3 linked regions of the Styela clava genome follow. The protein of the gene in region 3 purifies or fractionates together with the protein of the main gene of each other region. This does not show direct contact. Links are inferred from orthologs where the notes say so. Each region holds a gene or a part of one and is shown on either strand. Other genes may lie near its edges.

Region 1 (7,503 bases), on a different chromosome or scaffold from region 3:
AAGATTTATTCTGTCAGCCATTGTTGCTATTTCTCTAAAAGCACCGATTAATACTCTGTCTGCACTATTCATTGATTTTCGGTTGGAAAACTTGGCAAAACCTGAAAAATGGTTGTACATGTATTTGAACCTTACTGAATCAAGTGAAATAATTAAAATCAAACACTTCATTCAAAAATTAATATATTGGTCAGGGGTCGAGAACCTTTTTGGTCAAGAGTGCCATGAAAGGTACATATTTTAACTGCATTTCTGTGCGAGCCATAGAGCATTTCTTCCTTAATCAGGCCTGAAATTTTTGCTCAAAAGTCAACATACAATGTCAATATACATTTAATGTGACTTCTGATGCTACCTGTTGTCGTTGCAGGATTGCTGACATGCAGCACAAGTTGAAATCTATAACACTCATCACCCTTCTTTCGTTTAGGAATCTCCGTAGTATTTCAAAAACTAGCTTTGTTAATCTAATTTAAATATGACAAATACTGTGACTAGTACGTAAAAACAGACTAAGCTTTATTCTATTGCTCCGCGATTCTATCGCTTTGTGATGTCACGAAAGATGTTCCGGAATCCCCTAGTTTTGTCACAATGTCTGTCTGGTAATTCTCCTATATAACATAGACATGTGCTGGGCGTTCTCAAACATATTGGCAAATTTGGCTATAAAAGTGTTTGAAATCTTGTAACAATAGTAAGCTTAGCCTTAGATTTTTCTGGGAGCCATATGTCGTTACCAAAAGAGCCATATATGGCCCCCGAGCCATGGGTTCCTGACCTCTCATATAGGTTGTACATAAGAACGATTGATATTCCTATACCCCACAGGGGTGAATGAAATTTAATCACACTGAATAACCTGAATCATCTCCACCAGGACCAGAAGGTCGCTCAATTATTGTTGACAAGTCACTTCCAGAAAGTAGTGAGTTTTCTGCATCTCCAACACGAGACATATCCTGTAATCAAATTATACAATCATATAGAATATGATCAAATAGATTGGTTGAAAACTAATTAAGCAAGTTTAGCATTCTGTTACGTTTCATTTTTATCTGCCGGGTGCCATTGGTAAGCCGCTGAACTTTGATTGAGAGATAAAGCAAGGAATCGTATAATTCAAAACAAAAACAATTTCCCAGCTTCAAAAAATAGTAACTTTGTATTTCAAGTGTTTTCCATATTTCGTTGATGAAAACACTGTCATGACATCTGAAAATAGCTATCGAATCATTTCGCATTCAACATCTATTTATAGAAAAAATTGGTGATTTTTCACAACAAAAATTTTTCATATGATCAGCCATTTTATACATACAGACATAAGAGAATACAAGTATAAAATACATGAACTCAGAGTACCTTAGAGTCTTTATCATTGCTGAAAGTACGCCACTCCGACCCTACATCCACCACTCTGTCACCAACTACTAAGCCACATTCAGGACACACCATATCCCCTGCCCTGTAATCTTCAATCAAAGGAGCATCTGGATGCTGAGGGCAACAGACTTGACGATGATGATTTTTGCTGAAATATTTGAAAACAGTGTTGAAATGACTCTTGATATTGAACATATTTATTACAGCAGAAGCCAAAAAATTATGACAACATGAAGACATGGCAATAGTTTCTTATTGTGTGTTCCACATAATTCAGTACAGTGATAGTTACATTGCATAAATTATCATTTCAAGCAATTGAAATCTCAGAAATTGATCAAAATTCCTTTATTATATTTTTGAGAACAAATCAAAACACTGTTTTTAATCTGTAATTGTGAAATGATCAAGGGTTTTGGCCTACCCCAATTCACAATGCTGCTAACACAGGTCTGCAGGTTTTCTAAATTCTTTAATTTATTAAAAAGATGATAAAAACATAAAAATACAATTTGAACTGCAGTACCGCAATACTAACAGACTGATGATAGATCTCATATTTCCAATAAGGCTGATTCCTCGCTTTAAACAATTGTTTTTACATGAGTACCATGTTGTTTATCTCCTGAAATTTATTCGTACATGTAAGGCTGACTCTTTGCTGATTCGAACAATTGTTATGTGTCCAAATTTACATTTGAGTATAGTAGTCCAATAGCCAAAATTGTTTTTTTATTTGTGGGGCTTACTCCTCACTTTCAAATAATAGTGTAATCGTTGATTATTTGCCCAAACTGTTTCATTTCACAAATCTCATCATTTAAAAATTGATTTCACAGAAAAAAATTATTTACTTTTATTTAGGCCTACTTCATTTTTTTGTTTGTTTGTTTTTCCAAATTTTGTTTCGTGAACTTTAACCATTTCTAATAGTCATATTTTACTGTGAACTTATCATCGTAAACTTAGAGGGGGCTGACTTCGATGACCGCATGGTCGTATCGCTCCTTCCGAAAAAAGTGTATTTTTTATAGCCATTATTTATTTATTATTATGTTTTTTTTTAAGGTCCACGTTGTGGATTCATAACAGTTTTGTAAAAATAAATAAATGATGAAAAAATAATAATCATAGAACATAGTTACATATAATAAACAAATATATTCGTAAACATCATTCAGTATTATCCAGCAATTCATATTATTCCATTGTTGATTTCAGATAAAGTTTCCCATGTTTATCAGTAAATATACATTAATTTATATGTTTTTAATTTATAGCTTATTATGACTGTAGTTTTTCTGGTTGACGAAATAAATCTCTCTCTCTACTCACCTAGAACCTGACATTGTCAGATCAGATTCTTTGTCTACAGTTGAAAACCCTGTCTGTCGGTCTCAAATACAAGACTAGTTTCAACACTGTAACAGCAGAACAGAGCTTCGAATGAAGGCAGAATTGCTACCTCGGGAGTTTTCAGACCAATGAGATGTTCAGACACGCGCCATAGGCCTGATTTACTGATAAGCTAATTCACAGATAGGCTGAATTTTTCAATCGTCGGTTGAGGGTTGATGCAATGTTTTTCGACCTTTGACCTCACAAACCTGTTAGGACGAGTCCGGTATTCGGCGAATCCGAGTAAAGTAATAGATCATGGACTCGAATCGAATCGTCCGAGTCTGTGACGTCAAAGTGAAAACGGCAAAAAACACGTTTTCGATTGTGATGCAACAATACGCGATCAGTAGCGTACGCCGTACTGCGTTCTTGCCAAGTCCATGCTTCCGAAAAACAATATAACTAATCCCATACCCGACTTGGAATGGTAACCGGACGAGAGGCCGTGGTTCGCCATATGGATAAGCCGTCTTATCGGCTTTCCTCTCCCCCTGGATAAATATGTAAAATCCTATCCTATCCTAACTTGCATTGGAACGGATACGATGATTTTAAACTGAACTAACCGAAAACGACAAAAGAACCCAACACCCCAATCCATGATTTGTGCGTAGACTGCTATGGAACATTCAGTCCATTTACCGAGCTTGTTTTTCAGTAAAAAAATAAAATAAAAATTTGTCACTGTGTCACTTTTGCAACGTAATTGAACTAGGCCTACTGCATCATCATTTTTCGGCAGCGAGTGTTCTTTAATCCATATATCTGTAGGAAAAGCACATACACGTCTCACATTTTAATTTGAATTTATAAGATATTGCCCGAGGTCACATCGTGTTTTTGGTTTATTGTGTTTTGGGGGGACGGGCACGTACTTGTACGTATTTAACTTTATTATTGAGTTATGCCCGTCCTCCAAGTCCTCTGTATTTTGTTTGCCCTTTGTTGTTGTTTTGCTTTTTGTTTGTATCAGAGTGACCAAATAAAATTGATTGATTGATTGATTGATTGATTGATTGATTGATTGAACTTGTTTTTTGGCCACATGCTCACAAAACAGAAACGAATGCCAAGCGATGTTCGCTTTGGCCGTAAGCTTGCTTTCATGCCCACCTACGTCAGTTAATTCAGAGCGTATTTTTAGCACGACTGGCGTTGTAAAGTCGCCGTTACGTAACCGTCTGAAGCCAAAACGTCGAAATATTAACATTCTTGCATGTCAATCCGGCATGAAATGATAACCGGACGAGAGGTCGTGGTTTGCCATATGATTTAACTTTATTATCGGCTTCCGCTCCCCTGATAATGTAATCAATGACATTAAACAACATGATGCGCAACCCAGGCATTTTTGGCCGAAGATCGTATCCGATAGCACGCTCCAATGCACATACTTGACGAGACGAAAACGAGCGGATGTGTGCTGCTTTCAAGGCATAGCACTAATGGTGTTCGTTCCTGCTTTGACAGTTGTTGTCGATTTTAATGATATATTGGAAAATTGAAGGTAAAAAGAAATCGGAAAAAAGTAAGGTAAATACTATTGTTGTATATCACACCCGGGCATTGCACTGTTAAGTACATGTGGGAAAGCCGACTTTTGCCAAATACTACGAAGTTATTAAATCAGTACGGTACGTAGTTGCCCATTTGCCGGAATTGCATATTTACTTACCCCTTACGGTTTCAAATAGTTCATGCACCTCCAATTAGATTATTTTTAATCAGTGAGGATATATACTCATTGCTGTAACATACTATTGCTCATTCACTTTTATTTGCGTATTGAATCAAAGGGTTAACAAGTTCACCTAACATTTCACTCATACCGGTCTATATTGTATAGTAATTTTCTGTAAACCCCTTTATTAGTTGGTTTATATACCAAATTCAGTAAAACATTTTTTACATAAAACATGAGATATTGGATTTATTAGCTTTTCCAATCTAAATCATATAGACTGCTTTATTTATTCTTAACGAAAATTATTAAATCTCCTCTCTTTCTTTAGATGTAAAAGTTGTGGGAAAACCTGTCTAAGCATTGTGGGACTCCTGCAGCACAAGAGGCAATAGCAAAAATAGAAAGTATATCAATCAAGAAATTAAGCCGACATAAAGCAAAACTTTCAACTATTCGTCCAACCTCAATTTTCTATTATTTATTCACATGACAACTGTAGCAGAAGGGGAGATATCAGAAGTCTGTCGACATATCAGTGACAGTGTGATTCCAAGAAATACAATCAGAATACTCCATAAATGTTTGCAATAGAAGAACAACCTATGGAGACATGCAAAGACATTTGACCCTCCGGTAGAGTTGTGTATGGCCCCTACATCCTGCAGGGCTTAAGGAAAATAACTAAAAATTCCAAAGCGTAAGATTGCATAAGCGGTCTTATTCGTAAAAATGCACAAAACATGCCAGACATACTTAAAACAGCTTTGGAAAATGAGGATTATGGGTCACTCACTACACCTGTGTTATATTTGATTCATCAACTTTTGGTAGTAGGCCTACTAAAGAAGAAATTCAGGAAATGGTATAATCATGATTCATGATAAAATACTGTTTTATATTTAGGACAACTTCAATCTAGACCAGGGATATCAAACTCGCGGCCCCGGAGAACTTCCAGTGCGGCCCTCGAACGCTTAACAATAATTGTAATTGTATTTTGGAGTTTTTTTTATCTAAGTGTAATAGATTTTTCAACCCTTTTAAAGTGAAATTGAATATTCACACAGAAAGCAATTTACTGAAAGTAGTTTTGGAAAGTTAATTTTTTTGTTCACATTTTGACCCAATTAAGAATACACATCAAGCTAGCAAAAGAATACTTGAATAAAACACTTGAGTGAATAAATTGAACGCAAAGTACATGAAGAAGGTGGCATTTTCGAAGAAAATGGAAGTTGCAATATTTCTGCATTTCACAAAATTTTGAAGCACATTGTTCAATTTGTCATATTTTCATCAGTACAATAAAAAAACACAATAAGCTCGGCAGTCAATATGACAATTTCGAAGACCAACTTCGAACAGAAAATTACCATGTGTTTGTATATTAATATAAATATACAACGAATTAGTGACTAAAAATTAATATCAATATTAATTCAAGCAATCCTATGCAATGTGGCGCGAAATGTCGTGTCGTATCTGTCATTTGTTTTTTTACTGATCTATTCATGAAATGATAAAAGAAACTTTTTTGCATTACTGGAATTAATTAAACATTCGCAAAGATCTAGAAAAACCCATGATCACGTGTCCTCGTTAGTTAGAGTTGGTACTATAAAATCATTTCAGCCTTGCCTTAGTATGCTGGTGACACAAAAAAGATGCCAAACGTCAGGACAAATGTAATTAAAAAAACATTGAGTTTATACTGTAGTATTTTTGTTAATTTCAAGTCCATGTATTTAGATTAAGTCATTTTTAGTGTATGTATTATTCTTTCCTTATCTAAAGCTTGTTCAAAAATGATTTTGATGGTTGTATATAGAATTTTATGATTTTTTGTAATAAATACAGTAACTTGCAATAATAGTGGAATGCAAATATTAATATGTAATTGCATTTGAAATTAAAGAAAATAATAAAACTTAATCCAACTGTTTAGTTGCATCACAATATATGTCACAAACTAAAACTATCTGAAAAATATCTTTCAAGTATACATTATCAAAAAGTGTTTTTGGCCCTTTTTACAATTTCCAAAATGCAATGCGGCTCTCAAAAACCCTTGAGTTTGACACCACTGATCTATTCTAGACGATTCAAGCATTGCTTTGGGAAATAATATCACTGCAATTAAATTGAAAAAAATCTCGCTATATTGAATACAAAATCGTTGCTATCATAAAGGTAAACCAATTCAGCCACTCGGAATATATTGGCCTTCACAAAGCAATGGAGGCAAAATTGAGAGTTCATGAGCTATGAACTTATGTTCTTTTCTTTGTCTTGAACTTTATATACTCCACAGCCCCTATTAATTTTTTTTTAATTTTAATTACCATGTGATGGTCATACATATCTTTAACTTGTATTTTCTGTCATGATGTATTATCTCAATGTGTCAAACTTTTAATTAGTGTGCATATTTTGCTTCCAGATGACATAAATGTACAGTATTGTCTTGTTTATTACCTCAGCTTGGAGTATTGACAAGAAAAAGGTGCCCGTAAATTACGTAAAATGATTTTTAACTCTTTGTTATAATCAGAATTCACAATTAATAGGAATCATAAACAGCCAACAATCAATGAGAATTATATGCCAAATCCCTCAGAATAAATTTGTCTTCTAAAATCGGAGGAAAGCAAAACATATAGGCAGTTTCCATTCATACAAGTCTTTCATGAAAACTTGCTCGAGCCAAACTAAATGAGCATCGTCAGATGATCGGTAAGATAATATTAATTAGTGGGCTATGAACTAAATTCCTAAATTTAGACACAAACCTATCTACGAGGCATTATGTACCAGCAATGTTACCTACGGTTAACTAAATATGTAATATATATGTCTAATAAATTAACCTACTGAAGCATGTTCGATAGGTGCAAACTTTGTGTTATGGAATTGTATCACAGCACCGTTAAGAGAAGTAAAAACAGTTTTGCATGACACTCTCTTTAAATGAAATTTCAATGTTTTAAGCGCAAACATTAAAATTACTAACTTTGTCATTATCTGCAAAATGT
Region 2 (8,087 bases), on a different chromosome or scaffold from region 3:
TTTGTATCAGAATTTTCTTCTGGTGTTACAGAGTTTTGTTCTTTCTGCTGTGACTCATGAGATACACTGGGCGATTTGTCACCATTTTGTTCTGAGGTTTGATCGACAGACGGTTGCGATAAAGCTTCGGACTTCTGTGTATCTTCGCCATCCGAGGTTGAATTATCGCTACTGCTCGTACTTGACCCAGAGTCTGAACTCGATTCGGAATCAGACGAAATATTCAAATCATCGTCCACCTCGTCTTTGGTGACAATTTTATTTTTATTCGAATCCAGTGGTCCATCAATATCTTCCTTCGTTCGTTTTGCATCAGAAACTCTCTCCGTTCCTTCTTCCTCAGATTTGCGTTTGCGTCGACTCACTTCAATTTCTGTTTTCTGTAGTTCCTTCTTGTATGGATTGTTGATGTCGCCTGTCCCTTGGAAATAATTATACTTTCTGACCATGATCAAGTTTGGCACGGCGTTCCAAACATCATCCCTGTCATCAATAATGCAAACCATAGAATCGCCACAAGGAAATAAATGTCGAAGATTTCCAGATTTTTTAAACGGATGAATGCACTCATCTCTTGACAGGATCCGATGAGCAAAATATTTTTTTTCTTTATCAATGAAGTCAGCGATTTTGTGAGCGTACTGCCGTGAACCGAATGTAACGATTTGCAATTCATAACGCTGAGATATTTCTTTCAAAAACTCACGACAATGAGGACGAAGTTTCGTGAATAGCATTGGGTCATTTTTACTGAGCTGGAAAGAATAAAATTCATCTGTGGAATGGCAAAGAGCTGCGAGCCCTGGATCTTGTGTCGTATGAATCAATGTTTGATCCAAATCCACCAATAATACAAGTTTTTTCATCCGATGAAGTCTGTTTTTATCTTGTTGTGCGATTTCTTCCGCTTGTTCAGCGCTAATTCGCAGCTCAGGAATGCTCGGAATCATAGAAACGGTAGCAGAATGTGATTTCTGTCTTTCATGCTTGGCCCGGCCCTCATCTATCATTCTGAGATCCTGACCGCACTCGGCACACATATCCTTCATCACAACTGGGTGAGCGCAACCTGAAAAATTAAAAGCATGAATCATATGACGCCAACATAGTCGAAATTTATTGCAAAATATATTACGATGTTTTGGTTTTCCAGGTTATCATTTAAACCAGTGGTGCTCGAACTTTGGGACGGCCACAAGGGGGCGTAGACAATTTTTATTAGGGGAGGGCATGTCAAGCTAATTAAAAATGAAAATATTCTACTATCTACGTTCCATCCATGTATTTTCAACATGTTTTTACGAATAAAACATACTTTCACCTTACTATCTGCTATTAAGGAAATTATAAATGAAAAAAAAAATAGAGCCGAAGCCTCCAAAAATAATGGTAGCCCCGGTCTCAGCAAAATGTCTCCAATCAATCTCACCCGTTTGATTAACATACATATATGACAATAATTACACGTGGCCCTAAGTATAATACTACATAACCTGTTGTGTTCTATTGACTTTGAAATGAAATATCTAACCCCCTTCCTTCAACCTAACCTAGCTGGAATTTATCCAACAAAGTGCAAACATTAACAAGCATACAATTTGATTTGGTTATTCCTATTCAGCACAACAATACTAGGACAGGATTTACCTATTTATCCCGGTGGAGAAGAAAGTCGATAGAGCGGCTTAATCATATGGCTAACCGAAGCATCTTGTCCAGTTACCATTCCATGTCGGATATGGGATAAGTTAGTCAGTTGTTTTTGGAGTGGAAGTGGTGACTCCTCTACAGCCCATGGGCCGAGGCCCATCTAATTGGGCCGCAGCCCATTAGCGATGGACCGTAAATTTCAAGTCTTTTACGACAATTTATACAATTGTAATATGTGAAAATACTTAAATTGAGTAAAGATAAACTTTAGGTCTTGTATAGTATAGTACCACATGCAGCCTACTTCTGGTTGGTCTGGCTCAATTTATGTATACGTCATTCCTAACCCTCACCTGGCAACGTCACCAAAAAATTTAAGTCACATGGGCCATGGCCCATCGCCAATGGGCTGCGGTCCTATTATATGGGCCGTGGCCCCGGCCCATAGGGAAGTCACTACTCACCACCCCTGTAGTGTTTTTGGATGCATGGATGATGGAAGAAGTCGTAACTGACCAGCAGATACACAAGAACCACCCTTAGGAGGCGAGGAGTCCAGCAATCCTCTCGCACATAATTAACCCAGCACAGAATTCGAATCTCGAACCCACGCAGAGTAATCAAAAATGCCATGGCGAGCGTATTCTAAACACTTAGCATGATGCACCACACTGCCGAGCCATATCGTTCAACCACATATGGATCCAATATCGAAGCAGCCAAGGGTAAAGGACTTCAATATAAACTTATAGACAAAATATACTTATACAATGCATTATAGAATTCATTATAACACAATGTTATGCTTCCGATATTATTAAATTCCCATGTTATTAAAATCCCCCTTTAAAGTTTCAATCAGCATATAGATATCATCTTCTGCAATGCTAGCGGCACATTGTCTTTTGAGATTTCATAGTTTGGCCGCAAAGCCTTGGATTTCACATTGTTGAGTCACAACAATGCAACCCCAGGGGAAATCTCTGCAGTGTTTGAATAAGCACAAATTTTTCTCTAATAGTAGAGGATTTAAAAAAATAACAACACATGAAAACACAACTGAATACTCCTGAAAATCTCCTTGTGAACCCCAGGTTGAGAGCCCTAGTTTATGGAATTCACTAAAATAAAATGCTATGCTTCCCACCTTCTATTTCCAGTAGAACGCCCTCAGAAATGGCAACTTGGCCTTCGTGCATCAAGAACATTTTCACTGTCCCAACATGTTTCGATTTCAGATGTAATTCTTTCATCTTTGTTTGCTTCGTTGGATCTTCCACGTGTCGATATATCGCAAGAGGTGTGCCATGTTTTATCCATTCCCCTTTCTTTACCAACCATTTCAATATTCTAATCGGTTTATGCCCAGGTACATGGACAAGTTTTATTTCCGCCATTACTGACTAATCAACCCTGCGAATAAACATGGTACGAAGAAGGAATACGAATGTTATTAGACTAAAATAAGACAATGTTCCTCATCCTGAAATTCCAGCTCACAGAAAAATTTTATTGCTTGGGGAAGGAAAATTTATTTTGTATTTGAGTGTAAACTTATTATTTGATAATAATATTGACTTATTCATTATTATCAGTCGAGGTTGAACCAATGCAGTACGGCACACTATCCCGAATCCGGATTTGCGTCTACATTCCGGAAGAGCCAAAATATGGATAGGCGTCTGTGAAACCGGGGGCGTCGAGTCGTCTGCGAGCTCGATGCGTGAGAACGTCAGATGTCTGGATATGACGTCAAAGAAAGTCACGCACAGATCGGCAGTTCGGCACGGCTCTCGAATTTTGCTAATTTGATTTTCGTTTTTTACCGATGTATACTGACCTATATGGTTAGATATACGATGTATTTCTGAATCATTATATTTAGTCTACTGTTGGTAGTGCCTAATTAAAATAATGTTGCGTAAATGCAAACGTCTGTGAATAAAATAATTACTTTTAAATAATATCAAGAGATTACAAAATTATGCGTTTCGATTAATACGTCTATGATTCCAACTAATTTTATTATAGGTGTTTGTGACTACATGACATCGTTTGAATTGTCGTATAACGAAGTCAAAACGATGCACGATATCGAAGTTTTTTTTTCAATAGTTAAATTAATATCGATAGTGAAACTTTGTATGCCCGTTAATACCTGTAATTACAACAATTTAACATAGCATCTTCGGTTATTTAGAACTGAAACTTCCAGAACGCACAACGATTACGAATTACGATATCATTTAATAATTATATTCGAGATTTTTATTTAAATTTGAGCGTCAACAATCTATAGTAAAATAAAAGCCTCGATGATTAATTGGATTAAACTATTTTGCCAATTTGATTCTTGTTTTTCACAGACTACGTAAATTGATCATTTGCGGCATACGAATGCATCAATGCGGCATTATATTAATTTGATTCTTGTTTTTCACCTATCTATTCTTGCATAAATCACGCAAATTAACATTTGCGGTATATGATTGCCTCGACGTGGCATTGAATTAAAATATTCTCGTATTCCGTATACTTCGAAGTTAAACATTCGCGACATATGAATGTATCGATGCCGCATTATATTAGTTTGAATCTTGTTTTTCATCGATCTATACTAGTATAAATTACGCAAATTGAACATTTGCGGCATATGAATACATCGATGCCGCATGATATTACATTATTTTGCTAATTTGATTCTTGTTTCTTGCCGATCTATTATTGTGTAAATTACGCAAGTTGATCATTTGCGGCATATGAATTAAATTATTTTCGTATAGATTAACATTTGTGGCATATGAATGCCTCGATGTGGCATTGAATTAAATTATTCTCGTATACCGTAACTTTCGAAGTTAAACATTTGCGGCATATGAATGTATCGATGGGACATTATATTATTTTGAATCTTGTTTTTTACCGATCTATACTAGTATAAATTATGCAAACTGAACATTTGCGGCATATGAATACATCGATGTGGCATTATATTAAGTTATTTTGCTAATTTAATTCTCGTTTTTCGCCGATCTATTCTTGTATAAATTACGCAAGTTGCACATTTTGCGGCATATGAATGTCTCGTTGCGGCATTAGATTAAATTATTGCTTTATGAACTAATTCATCTAATGCTATATCGAGGCATTAATTTTACTGTTTATCGATTGTGTGTTATCAAAATGTAATTTTTATTATCTCTGATCCATTTATTATCGTTAACACGCCATCCTATCTACATTGAAAATGAGAGAAACACGGCACGCCAAGGTTTACGTCGAGGAACGGCCGATGCGTGCCTGCGTGCGTCGATTGAAATTCAGTGACGTCACACGCCGTCAATCGTTTTTTGCTCATTTCTCTCGAACGCACCGGTAAAATTTTTTTTACATCGGTAGATCTGATTATTTTTTCACGAGGAATTCAATGGTGATGGTTTTAGATTGCGCTTTTTGTTAGTTTACTGCGCAGCTTCAATTTATCGATATCGGGAGACAAAATCCGCCAGACGTCCATCGAAGGAGGGATATTCGATCACCGTTAAAATAGGTTTCTCTAAAACGAGAGATTGTCTCTCGATCTGTAAAGTGTGCCGTACTGCAATGCCTTTGCGCTAGTGGATCTGTTGATTATGCGTATAATGTAAGGATGCTGTAGCAGGAATAAAAATACCTTATTATGCATTTTAAGAGTCTTGCTACACTAACATAAATGTATTTCTGTAACTATTCATCTGACCAAGGTCAGACTTTCCGATTGCAAGTTTCACATTACCAGTTATCTATCTATCAACAATTATTGAACAGCAAACTAAAATGGAGTTTTTGTGCATAGTGCAGGGACAGTAGAGAGACGACTTTACACAGAACTTCATGGTGAATAATGTTTGAAATAATTGAAAGTTATTGCCTTCCGGCGATAACAACAATTTTCAACCACTATAAATTCAAAACTAATTGCAGAATTGGGTCTAGTACACCGATTCTCAACCGGTGGGCGATGGCCCACTGATGTGGTCTAGTAAACGCCATGACTGCTTAAATAACGTCTAACAAAAATGTTATGTGAAATGAACGTCGTAACTGCTCAAATAACACCCAACGAAATTGTGATGTGAAATTTCAATGTAAAATGATCGAAATTAAACCCTTATTGTCTTAAAACGTCGCCGTCTAAAATGCGAGAAGCTGGACAACTCATCTGTCCTATCATGAGTCGAGTTGTCCGCCGTCCGTTTCTTCCATGCATTTACAGATTTAGCGTATTGTGTTCGCGCAAGACGGGGTTGTATTTTCACATCACGTTTTTGTTTGGCATTATTGGAGCACCAACCGCTTACAGCATTCCTTTCCCAGTTTCCCCAAGCAGCCAAGAGAAACATGCAAAACCATCTTATCCTATATAGCTGCATCTATATCCAGTACCGGTACCAGTATCTGAGTACCCGTATTTAACTATATATTTCAGTATTTAGATATACGGCAACATATATTTCAGTATTTATATACCAGTATACGGCACCGGTACCCCGGTACCGTTTTTTGCGTCACCGTTCACCGTGAAATGTTATATTCAACTTTTTTTTCTAATTTTTGTTCACAGTAAGCTGGTAAGTGCATTTTCAATTTGGTGAAAGATAAACTACTGACTGAACGAAGCCCCCACTACATAATATATTTTAGCATAGCTGCAACTTTTCCAGTCGTGGCGCCATTGCTGTAAATATAACCACTGTGAAGCTAGTAGCAATTTGACCTTTGTGTGCGGCGAAGCGGAAAGGTTAATATTTATGGCAGAAATGGAGGCGTGTCAGAATCTACACCCGAAAAAATGAAGATAAACGAAATTAGCATACTATTATGGGAAATATGTTTATAATTTAGCAAAAATAACAATTATATAGCAAAAAAATAAATAATAAAAGTTTGAAAAGGAATGAAAAAACAAAAAAAAGGGGAAACGAATTTTATTTAACTTCCTTCGAAAAAGCAGATAAGCCAGATAATTTCAAATCCAAGCAAAAATCCCTTCCGCGGGAGAGGCATTCGATTTCATTATTTATTAATAAAGAGGTTTATGTTAATTTTTTCCCACAACTAGAACCTAAGTCTTTTTTTTATTTTAGAATCTACGTTTTTCTCATAGCGAAAATGACCTTATTTGGAAAAATTACGTATAACGAAAAAAGTTAAATCTAGTCAATTTTCAAAGTCCAGCAACACACCCTTCTGCACAAAAGACATTCGATTTCATTATTTGTTATTAAAGAGGTTTACCTGAAGTTTTTCACTCAACTAGAACCTAAGCCTTTTTTATTTTAGAATCTGGGGTATTCTCATAGCGAATATGGCCTTGTTTGAAAAAAATACATATATCGACAAAAGATAATTTAGACAATTTTCAAAGCCCAGCTGCACACCCTTCCCCACAAGAGGCATTCGGTTTGATTATTTCCCATTAAAGAAGATTACCAGAAGTTTTTCACACAACTAGAACCTAAGCCTTTTTTATTTTAGAATCTGGGGTATTCTCATAGCGAAAATGGCCTTATTTGGAAATATTAGGTATAGCGAGAAAAGCTAATGTAGTCCATTTTCAAAGCCTAGCAGCACACTCTTCCGCACAAGAGGCATTCGATTTGATTATTTCACGTTAAAGAGGTTTTTCTGAAGTTTTTCACACAACTAGAACCTAAGCCTTTTTTATTTTGGAATCTACGTTATTCTTATGGCGAAAATAGCCTTATTTTGAAAAATTACGAATAGCGAAAAAAGGTAATTTAGTTAATTTTCAAAGCCTAGCAGCACACCCTTCCGCACAAGAGGCATTCGATTTGATTATTTCATGTTAAAGAGGTATACCTGAAGTTTTCCACACAACTAGAACCTAAGCCTTTTTTATTTTAGAATCTACGTTTTTCTCATGGCGAAAATGGCCCTAATTAGAAAAATTACGCATAGCGAAAAAAGCTAATTTAGTCATTTTTGAAAGCCTAGCAGCACACCCTTCCGCACAAGAGGCATTCGATTTGATTATTTCCCATTAAAGAAGATTACCTGAAGTTTTCCACACAACTAGAACCTAAGCCTTTTTTGTTTTAGAATCTACGTTATTCTTACGGCGAAATGGCCTTATTTTGAAAAATTACGTATAGCGAAAAAAGCTAATTAGTCAATTTTCAAAGCCTAGCAGCACACCCTTCCGCACAAGAGGCATTAGATTTGATTATCTCATGTTAAAGAGGTTTACCTTAAGTTTGCCACACAAATAGAACCTGAGCCTTCTTTATTTTAGAATCTGGGGTATTCTCATAGCGAAAATGGCCTTTTTTGGAAAAATTACGTATAGCGAAAAAAGCTAATTTAGTCAATTTTGAAAGCCTAGCAGCACACCCTTCCGCACAAGAGGCATTCGATTTGATTATTTCCCATTAAAT
Region 3 (7,121 bases):
GATGATATTTGTGATTGATTGAGCAACTCCAAGACAAGATGACCATTTAATATGCTTTGCCTACTTTGATGAACAAAAAGCTGTAGAAGAGCTGCTGTTTTGCAAGCCAATTGAATCAGGATGTTGGGGAATTGACCTTTTTAAAATTATCTTACTACAGCATGTATTTAGTTTTTACCATGGTCGTAATCAAGACGAATGACCGATCTAGAGTAATCAATGAAAAGATCAAACAAAAACACGTGTGGCTCTTCACCCCAAAGTTCCATTGACATTTGTAAAAAGACTCATCCACCCCATTAAATGTGATTTCACCCACTTTAGTTATATTTTGTTTGTTCGTTTAAATAAACTCATGGCAGAAAAGGTATTTTATTGAGGAAAGTATCATGTTTATCACCTTTATTCACTCGCAACTTGAGCAGATTTTTCAGGGGGGCGTCAGATCACAAAAAAGTTCGAGAACCACTGGGCTAAACCATACAGCATTTATCATGATTCGACAAGAAACTATAGGTAATTTCTGTGACCTGACCTGCCGTACAACACATATCATCAACTACATCAAAGAAATTATATCCTTGAATACTACTAAACAAATATTTGCAAAAATTTATTCAAGACAAAGAAAAAGTCTTAAATTTTATTGAGTCAATCGTAGAGAAAACCAGTAATATGGTTCAATAGCAAGTTATGCTGTCCCCCAAGATGCAATGCAGTTCATCCAATCTCTAGTGAGTTCTTTTCATGGAGAACCGTCGACGCAAGTTTCATTTTCCAAAGTTTGAGACCTTTGTTAAAATACTAACTGACCAGTCCTAAGAAATCATCCATAAGTGAACCAATGGCAAACTGGAAAATGAATATTTCTTACATTATTTTTTAAAAATCTGAGTTGTATACCATTATATAATTCAACAATAATCTTGGACCAAAAATTGAGTCTTTGAAACCCCACTGGGCTAATCACATCGCTGGGTGTTGGTGAAGACTTGTAAAGTAGTATGTATCGAGAAATGATAAAACATATTATCTTTAATTAATGTACTTGTGTGCGAATGCACAGTATATGAACTTAACTTACGTTTGATAAATATTTCATAACTAAAATTTTGCGACAAGGATACACGTGCTGACTTGACAAAAGCCTAATTATCTTTTATCCAACACTGGAATGAAACCCTTAAATTGTTTAACTTACAATATCATTTGCATCAACTCTTGTACCAACGATTTTTAATCGAATTTCATCATCTTGCTGTATAACAACATCTTCATCTTCTGTTTTATAACACGGAGGATGAGATTCTGGATCAAACTTCATATCTGATGGAATTGACTGATGAAAAAATTAATTCATTTTAAAACTGCAACATGACACTTTATTATAGAGCAGGAGCTCATGGCTATTAATATAAGGAGCGCTGCATCAACACATTAAAGGGATGCAGAAAATAATCTTACTGAGTGAAGTGTGACGAATGCCACTAGCGACAAGATAGCCTTATGGAATCAGCATGCCGAAAAAAAAACATTTGTGTTTTTTGATGTCATGAATCATGATGTACACTTACAAAGCTTAATGAATGGCCATATAGAGTCAAAAAAAAAAATGGTTTCATACATACATGTCTAGATATAAAACATGACATAGGTCCAATTTCTGTAAAAAGTCCAACTTTATTGACTTGTGTCACTACGGCATCTACGACTTCACCCTTGAAAGGTCGGAACACAATTGCTTTGTATTTTATCGGATATAGAACAAAACCTCTTCCGGGTTGTATTTTTCCATCACCAATATTATCAATTGTAGTAACCGCTATTACAAACCCATGCCTAAAATACAATTTGAAATATGTATTGTAATATGTATTGTACATTGTCTGGACCAGCAAAACGATTCCTAATAATAAAATCAGTTCAAAATGCACAAAATCTAATAAAATCGAAACTGGAGTTTTTTTTCTACCCAGTAAGGAAAAATTAATTATTGGGATTCATCAATTCAGTTCATGGGATTACTGATTAGTGATTACTGATTAAAAAGACTGAATGCGGTAATTTGCAAATGTAGGTAAATTGATATAAACATGGCTTGGTTGAATCTATAGGTTATCGTTTATAGGATTAGGAATCCAATCAAGTTCTTTTTTGATCATATTGTGAGATTTCATCTGTTTAAAATAATAGTTTTTAGAATGTAACTATTTTAAGTTATTCCTAAAATCAAGAACATAATATATTTAATTTCATATCAAGTCGGATATTTTGTTCATTTTGAACATCCATGGGTGACATACTTTCCAGTACAGGTTCCTTCAACTTCTGCAAACAGCTTTTGCTTGACTGTTTGCAGCAAATTCGGTCCAAAATATCTTGGGTGAAGAAGTATTTCATGCTCCAAGGAAATCTGTAATAAAGTTTCTGTGTTATGTATCATTTTGGTCCAAGTTAGAGACAAAAGATTGGAATTAAACTGTATTGAACATAATCAGATTTTATTACTGAATATCTTTTCCATTTTGTAATACAACTTCTTGTAGAAAATAAAATATTGATAAATCGGGACACACTTTCACTGTTTTTGAACCATTAATATACAGACATGAATATTGTTTCTTTATTTCCAATTTTATGAACAAATAAAAATATAGAAAAATCAATCCCATACTTACATGATAAAACATATTATTTGCATGCAGTAATGACCTTTTAGTTATTACCAGTGTATCCCTCTTATATTCCGGTAAAATATTCACTGTCGAAGCTCTTAATTTAATATCAATATTCAGTAATGATAAATACTCTGCAAGAAGAAAATTCAAAAACCCATTTCGGCATTTAGATATAATCTTGATATTTCACGAGTTATTTTTCAAAGAATTAGGCACTGTGAAAAAGGGTTAAAATATAGATCTATAAACTCTATCAATAAGCAGGTAAAAGGAGAAATATCGGGTCTCGTGTAGTTTCTTACCTAACATACTTCTAGTGGGCGTAGCATCACAATTTTGACATGTCAATCCTAACCCCCACCAGACTATGCCATCCAAAAATTACGTCACTACGACATCACAATCACGTCATAGAGCTTGTTAAATATACGTACTATCGTCTGAAATGGCATCTGCGCCGACGATAAAGAACTTACTAACGTCAGCGATCTCTCTCATATTGGAATCGTCGCCACGTAAAAACGAGAGAAATAGCCGTTCGATTTCGGGTGCGCAGACGTGCGCGTCTTGGATGACAGTTGGTATAGTTTGAAGGTCTCTATTACGTCACTGTGACGTCGTAGAGACGTAATATTTGGATGGCATAGTCAGGTGGGGGTTAGGATTGACACATGAAAAAATTGTTGTGCTACGCCCGCTAGAAGTATGTTAGGTAGGAAACTACATGAGACCCGAAATATCCACTTAAGACTAACAACTACCAGCTGGACTGGATTTTATTAGGTTTCATATATAAAAATATATACCGATTTTAATACAATCGTAATAGACAATACCACGAATTCTCATTTTTCAATGTTTGCCTATCTTTCCCTTTTCAGAACCAATATTTTAATACTCTCTTTTATAGTGGCAAAAAAGCTATTAAACTTCGATCGTCTTTCTGTCTTTACCAATTTTGCATTTATATAAATAAAATCAGCCAGCATGCTAAACATAATTAGACTACAAATCATGTCAAACTTTTTTTTGTCAATCCCCACTGGTTTAAATGTTCCCAGAAAATTGATGAATTATTTATTTATTTCGGTACTCTGACATAAAACCATAACAGCACAAAAAGTAGACAGACAAACAAAATGCAGTGATACCTGGAAGGCGGACATGAGCATACTGGCATAACTTAAAATAAAGTTGAAAAACGTGAAAGTGGACAACTTACACGGAATAATAACAAAAATTAGGTAGATAAATTAAACGTAATATACTTCTAACTTCTACCGTCCAATTATGGTAATTGAGAGATCATCAGAATCTACCCCACATATCATGTACATAAATGAAGCTGATTTTAAATACTTGAATGCAGCAAATTCGGGGATTCTAGGTCGTGGTTGTGTGTGTATCTAAATAGGGAAATAGCTGTATGAAACATCTTATAAATTTGAATACCAAATTAAATCCTTATAAAACATTATTCAACACAATTTCCCTATTAAACAGTGCGATGAGTGAGAGTTGAATGCAGATGAATTACTGACCAGCATCGCCACTTAGTGGCTACTCAAAATTTCATCAACACATGTCAGGGTATTCCCCGGAAATAGACTCGATATCTCTCGCGATTTGTTTCTAAAAGCATTTTGAAACTTTTGTTCCCCGACAGCTCCAGCGATGGGACAATGTACATTGAAACATATTTTGAGAAAGGATCAAGTTTTGCTGATTTTTAAATTTAGTTAAGAGTCAACTATATTTTCCCTCAACTGCTTACTAATTGAAATGACTGACTGTTAACTGTTTGAGCTACAGCTCCTTTCTCTTTTTTAAAGGTCCTTGATTTTGATTTTGCAACTACTGCACCGTACTACAGTACCTACCGTACCGTACTAGATACATGGTGAGGCAATTAGGCATAAATAATGCAAGAGGAGATGGGTTATGTTGACTGCCATTGTCATCTTGCTGCACCTGAGTTTGCTGATGATCTAGATATTGTTGTGAAGCGAGGGAAGGAAGCAAACATCAAAGCAATCATTGTTGTTCCTGAATTTTTTACAGAATTTGAAAGGACATTGGATATTTGTAAACAGTATTCAGACTTTTTGTTTCCTTGCCTTGGAATCCATCCAGTTCAGGTATGCATAACCACTTATGTTTAGTATGCAGATACATGGCCACCCATTCGAATGTTGGAAATGAATGGCCCAGCTAGTCATGTCTAAAAATCAGGAGATCAAATACTTTCGGCTTTCAAGCGTTACTGCAATTATGCATCTTATTTGAGCTTGAAATTTCGCATATGTTCCTATATTATATTGTATATTTCAATCAATGATTTAAAGTTTTACTTGACATGATAGGGATGATTTTGACATAGTAATATGGTATTCATACTGTCTGCAAACTATTCAATTCTATTCATATTTGCTGCAAACATAATGTGGAAACAATTATTCTGTTGTGGAATTTGGAATTGATTGAGGGTATTAATAAATTTATAATTATTTATAAATTATTATTTATAATCTATAAAAAATATAATAAATTTTTCTAATATTATTAACTTGTGATATATGAGATAAAAAAATAGTGGAAATGTGTGACATCGACTTCTTAAGTAAACATTTAGGAATCAAAATAGCGTTTGGATTCTGCTGTGTATATCCTTGTCACCAAACTGATATATTTTTGTATAAAGAGGGATTCCGAACTCACAGAAAGAAGTGTGATGCCAGATGATTTGAAGGATGCAATTCCATTTATTGATTCACATTACAATAAAATTGTTGGAATAGGAGAAGTTGGACTTGATTTCACACCTTTTTATACCAAAGAAAACGATAGTAAAGAGAAACAAAGAGAAGTTTTTCGTCTCCAGGTACGCTTTGTCAGCACCATTATCTTATCTGTCATTTTAATTTTTCACTGAATTGACTAAATTGTTGTTGAATGTTAATAATACATTTTCTACTATTTCAGTTGTAATCTGAACTCATTTCTATTACAGGCCGCTCTGGCTCAGAAGTATGATCTTCCATTGTGAGTATTTTTATTATTGAGATCGATATGGTTTAAAATGAAAAATGAGTCTTCCTAGTGGCGCGGCGGTGTGGCTCAACGGGCTAAGCGTTAGGAATACGCTCGCCACCGCACCTCTAATTACTCCGCGTGGGTTCGCAGGTTCGAATCCCATGCAGGGATGGTTATGTGCGAGAGGATTGCTGGACTCCTCGCCGTCGTTGGGTGGTTCACGTAACCGCTGGTCGGTTACGGCTTCCTCCACCACCAAGTCCATGCTTCCGAAAACAAACAATATAACTAATCCCATACCCGACTTGGAATGGTAACCGGACGAGAGGCCGTGGTTCGCCATATGGATAAGCCGTCTTATCGGCTTTCCTCTCCCCCGGGATAAATATGTAAATCCTATCCTGTAAATCCTATCCTAGTAGCAGGCAAGGCGGTTTACTTGAGAACAGATGCAATATTTTGTTACTTTTATTTTATGAACACTTTTATTCAATACGATATTTTTTTAGAAATGTACATTCACGGTCAGCAGGTAGGCCGACAATAAAAGCATTAAAGGAATGTGGTGCAACAAAAGTTGTGTTGCATGCATACAGCGGGAATGCAGCTTCTGCAATGGAAGGAGTTCAAGCCGGTTATTATTTTTCTATACCACCCTGTATTGTGAGGAGTGAACAGGTACCGTAATCAACTGAAATTGTTGAAAATTTATTCACCATTGTCAAAATGATACAAACAAGCCACAAATCATGTTAAGTACTTTTATCTTGATTATTTAAACATTTTGTCTTTGATGCTTCACAAAATTTGCATTGTTTTCAGAAACAAAACATTGTCAAACGAATTCCAATGGACAATATTTTACTTGAAACTGATTCACCAGCTTTAGGACCAGAAAAGCAGGTAGATCATCTATTTTCTTTTGTCTTTCATTTTTGTCCATTTTGTTTTTTTACAAAATATATCATCAACTCTGCTATATGGGCACTTTGTCTAACAATTTTTTTAATCTGAGATCTGAGCCGTACATATATGTCAACAACTAGCTTCATCAATGACTATACAATGCTTATATATGTTTTATTTATTTATATTTCATACAAAACTTTTTATTACGCACAGGTCAGAAATGAACCGAGTAATATTACAGTATCATGCGAGTGGATTGCGAAAATAAAAGGTATTTCAGTGGAAGACGTACAAAAAATCACAACAGAAAATGCATGCAAGTTGTTTCCAAAGCTAAAAAGCGTATTACTGAAGTGATGCGGACATTTGAAATAGAGACGGAGTTGACGGAAGGCCATGATTTGTCTGGCATTGGGCTTGCTCATTGGATTATTATTTAGAATGCAGTCCTAACTAGCATGTGCAATCAGGTACCAGTTTTTTTCAATAACAACACATCGA

What was found.
Region 1: the proteins of DNA-directed RNA polymerase II subunit RPB7 (region 3) and transcription initiation factor IIB-like purify together in Homo sapiens (affinity purification with mass spectrometry; 3 studies listed by BioGRID and IntAct, with this or other methods). This does not show direct contact. The link is inferred for Styela clava from reciprocal best matches to the Homo sapiens genes POLR2G and GTF2B.
Region 2: the proteins of DNA-directed RNA polymerase II subunit RPB7 (region 3) and RNA polymerase II subunit A C-terminal domain phosphatase-like purify together in Homo sapiens (affinity purification with mass spectrometry; 4 studies listed by BioGRID and IntAct, counting the BioPlex papers as one, with this or other methods). This does not show direct contact. The link is inferred for Styela clava from reciprocal best matches to the Homo sapiens genes POLR2G and CTDP1.

What each region holds. Positions count from the first base shown.
Region 1 is NC_135254.1:20,967,386-20,974,888, reverse strand, and holds the start of transcription initiation factor IIB-like, read right to left. Parts: upstream 3,002-7,503; 5' UTR 2,736-3,001; coding exon 2,722-2,735; intron 1,535-2,721; coding exon 1,366-1,534; intron 965-1,365; exon of another isoform or gene 963-964; coding exon 863-962; intron 102-862; coding exon 1-101. UniProt on the Homo sapiens protein: General transcription factor that plays a role in transcription initiation by RNA polymerase II (Pol II). Involved in the pre-initiation complex (PIC) formation and Pol II recruitment at promoter DNA.
Region 2 is NC_135255.1:24,223,052-24,231,138, forward strand, and holds the start of RNA polymerase II subunit A C-terminal domain phosphatase-like, read right to left. Parts: upstream 3,060-8,087; 5' UTR 3,048-3,059; coding exon 2,798-3,047; intron 1,070-2,797; coding exon 1-1,069. UniProt on the Homo sapiens protein: Processively dephosphorylates 'Ser-2' and 'Ser-5' of the heptad repeats YSPTSPS in the C-terminal domain of the largest RNA polymerase II subunit. This promotes the activity of RNA polymerase II.
Region 3 is NC_135251.1:13,536,996-13,544,116, reverse strand, and holds DNA-directed RNA polymerase II subunit RPB7, read right to left. Parts: upstream 2,831-7,121; 5' UTR 2,691-2,830; coding exon 2,679-2,690; intron 2,414-2,678; coding exon 2,304-2,413; intron 1,840-2,303; coding exon 1,629-1,839; intron 1,340-1,628; coding exon 1,202-1,339; intron 853-1,201; coding exon 805-852; 3' UTR 587-804; downstream 1-586. Other genes in the region: putative deoxyribonuclease TATDN3, read left to right, coding at 4,601-4,816, 5,380-5,559, 5,689-5,720, 6,221-6,389, 6,534-6,614, 6,834-6,977. UniProt on the Homo sapiens protein: Core component of RNA polymerase II (Pol II), a DNA-dependent RNA polymerase which synthesizes mRNA precursors and many functional non-coding RNAs using the four ribonucleoside triphosphates as substrates.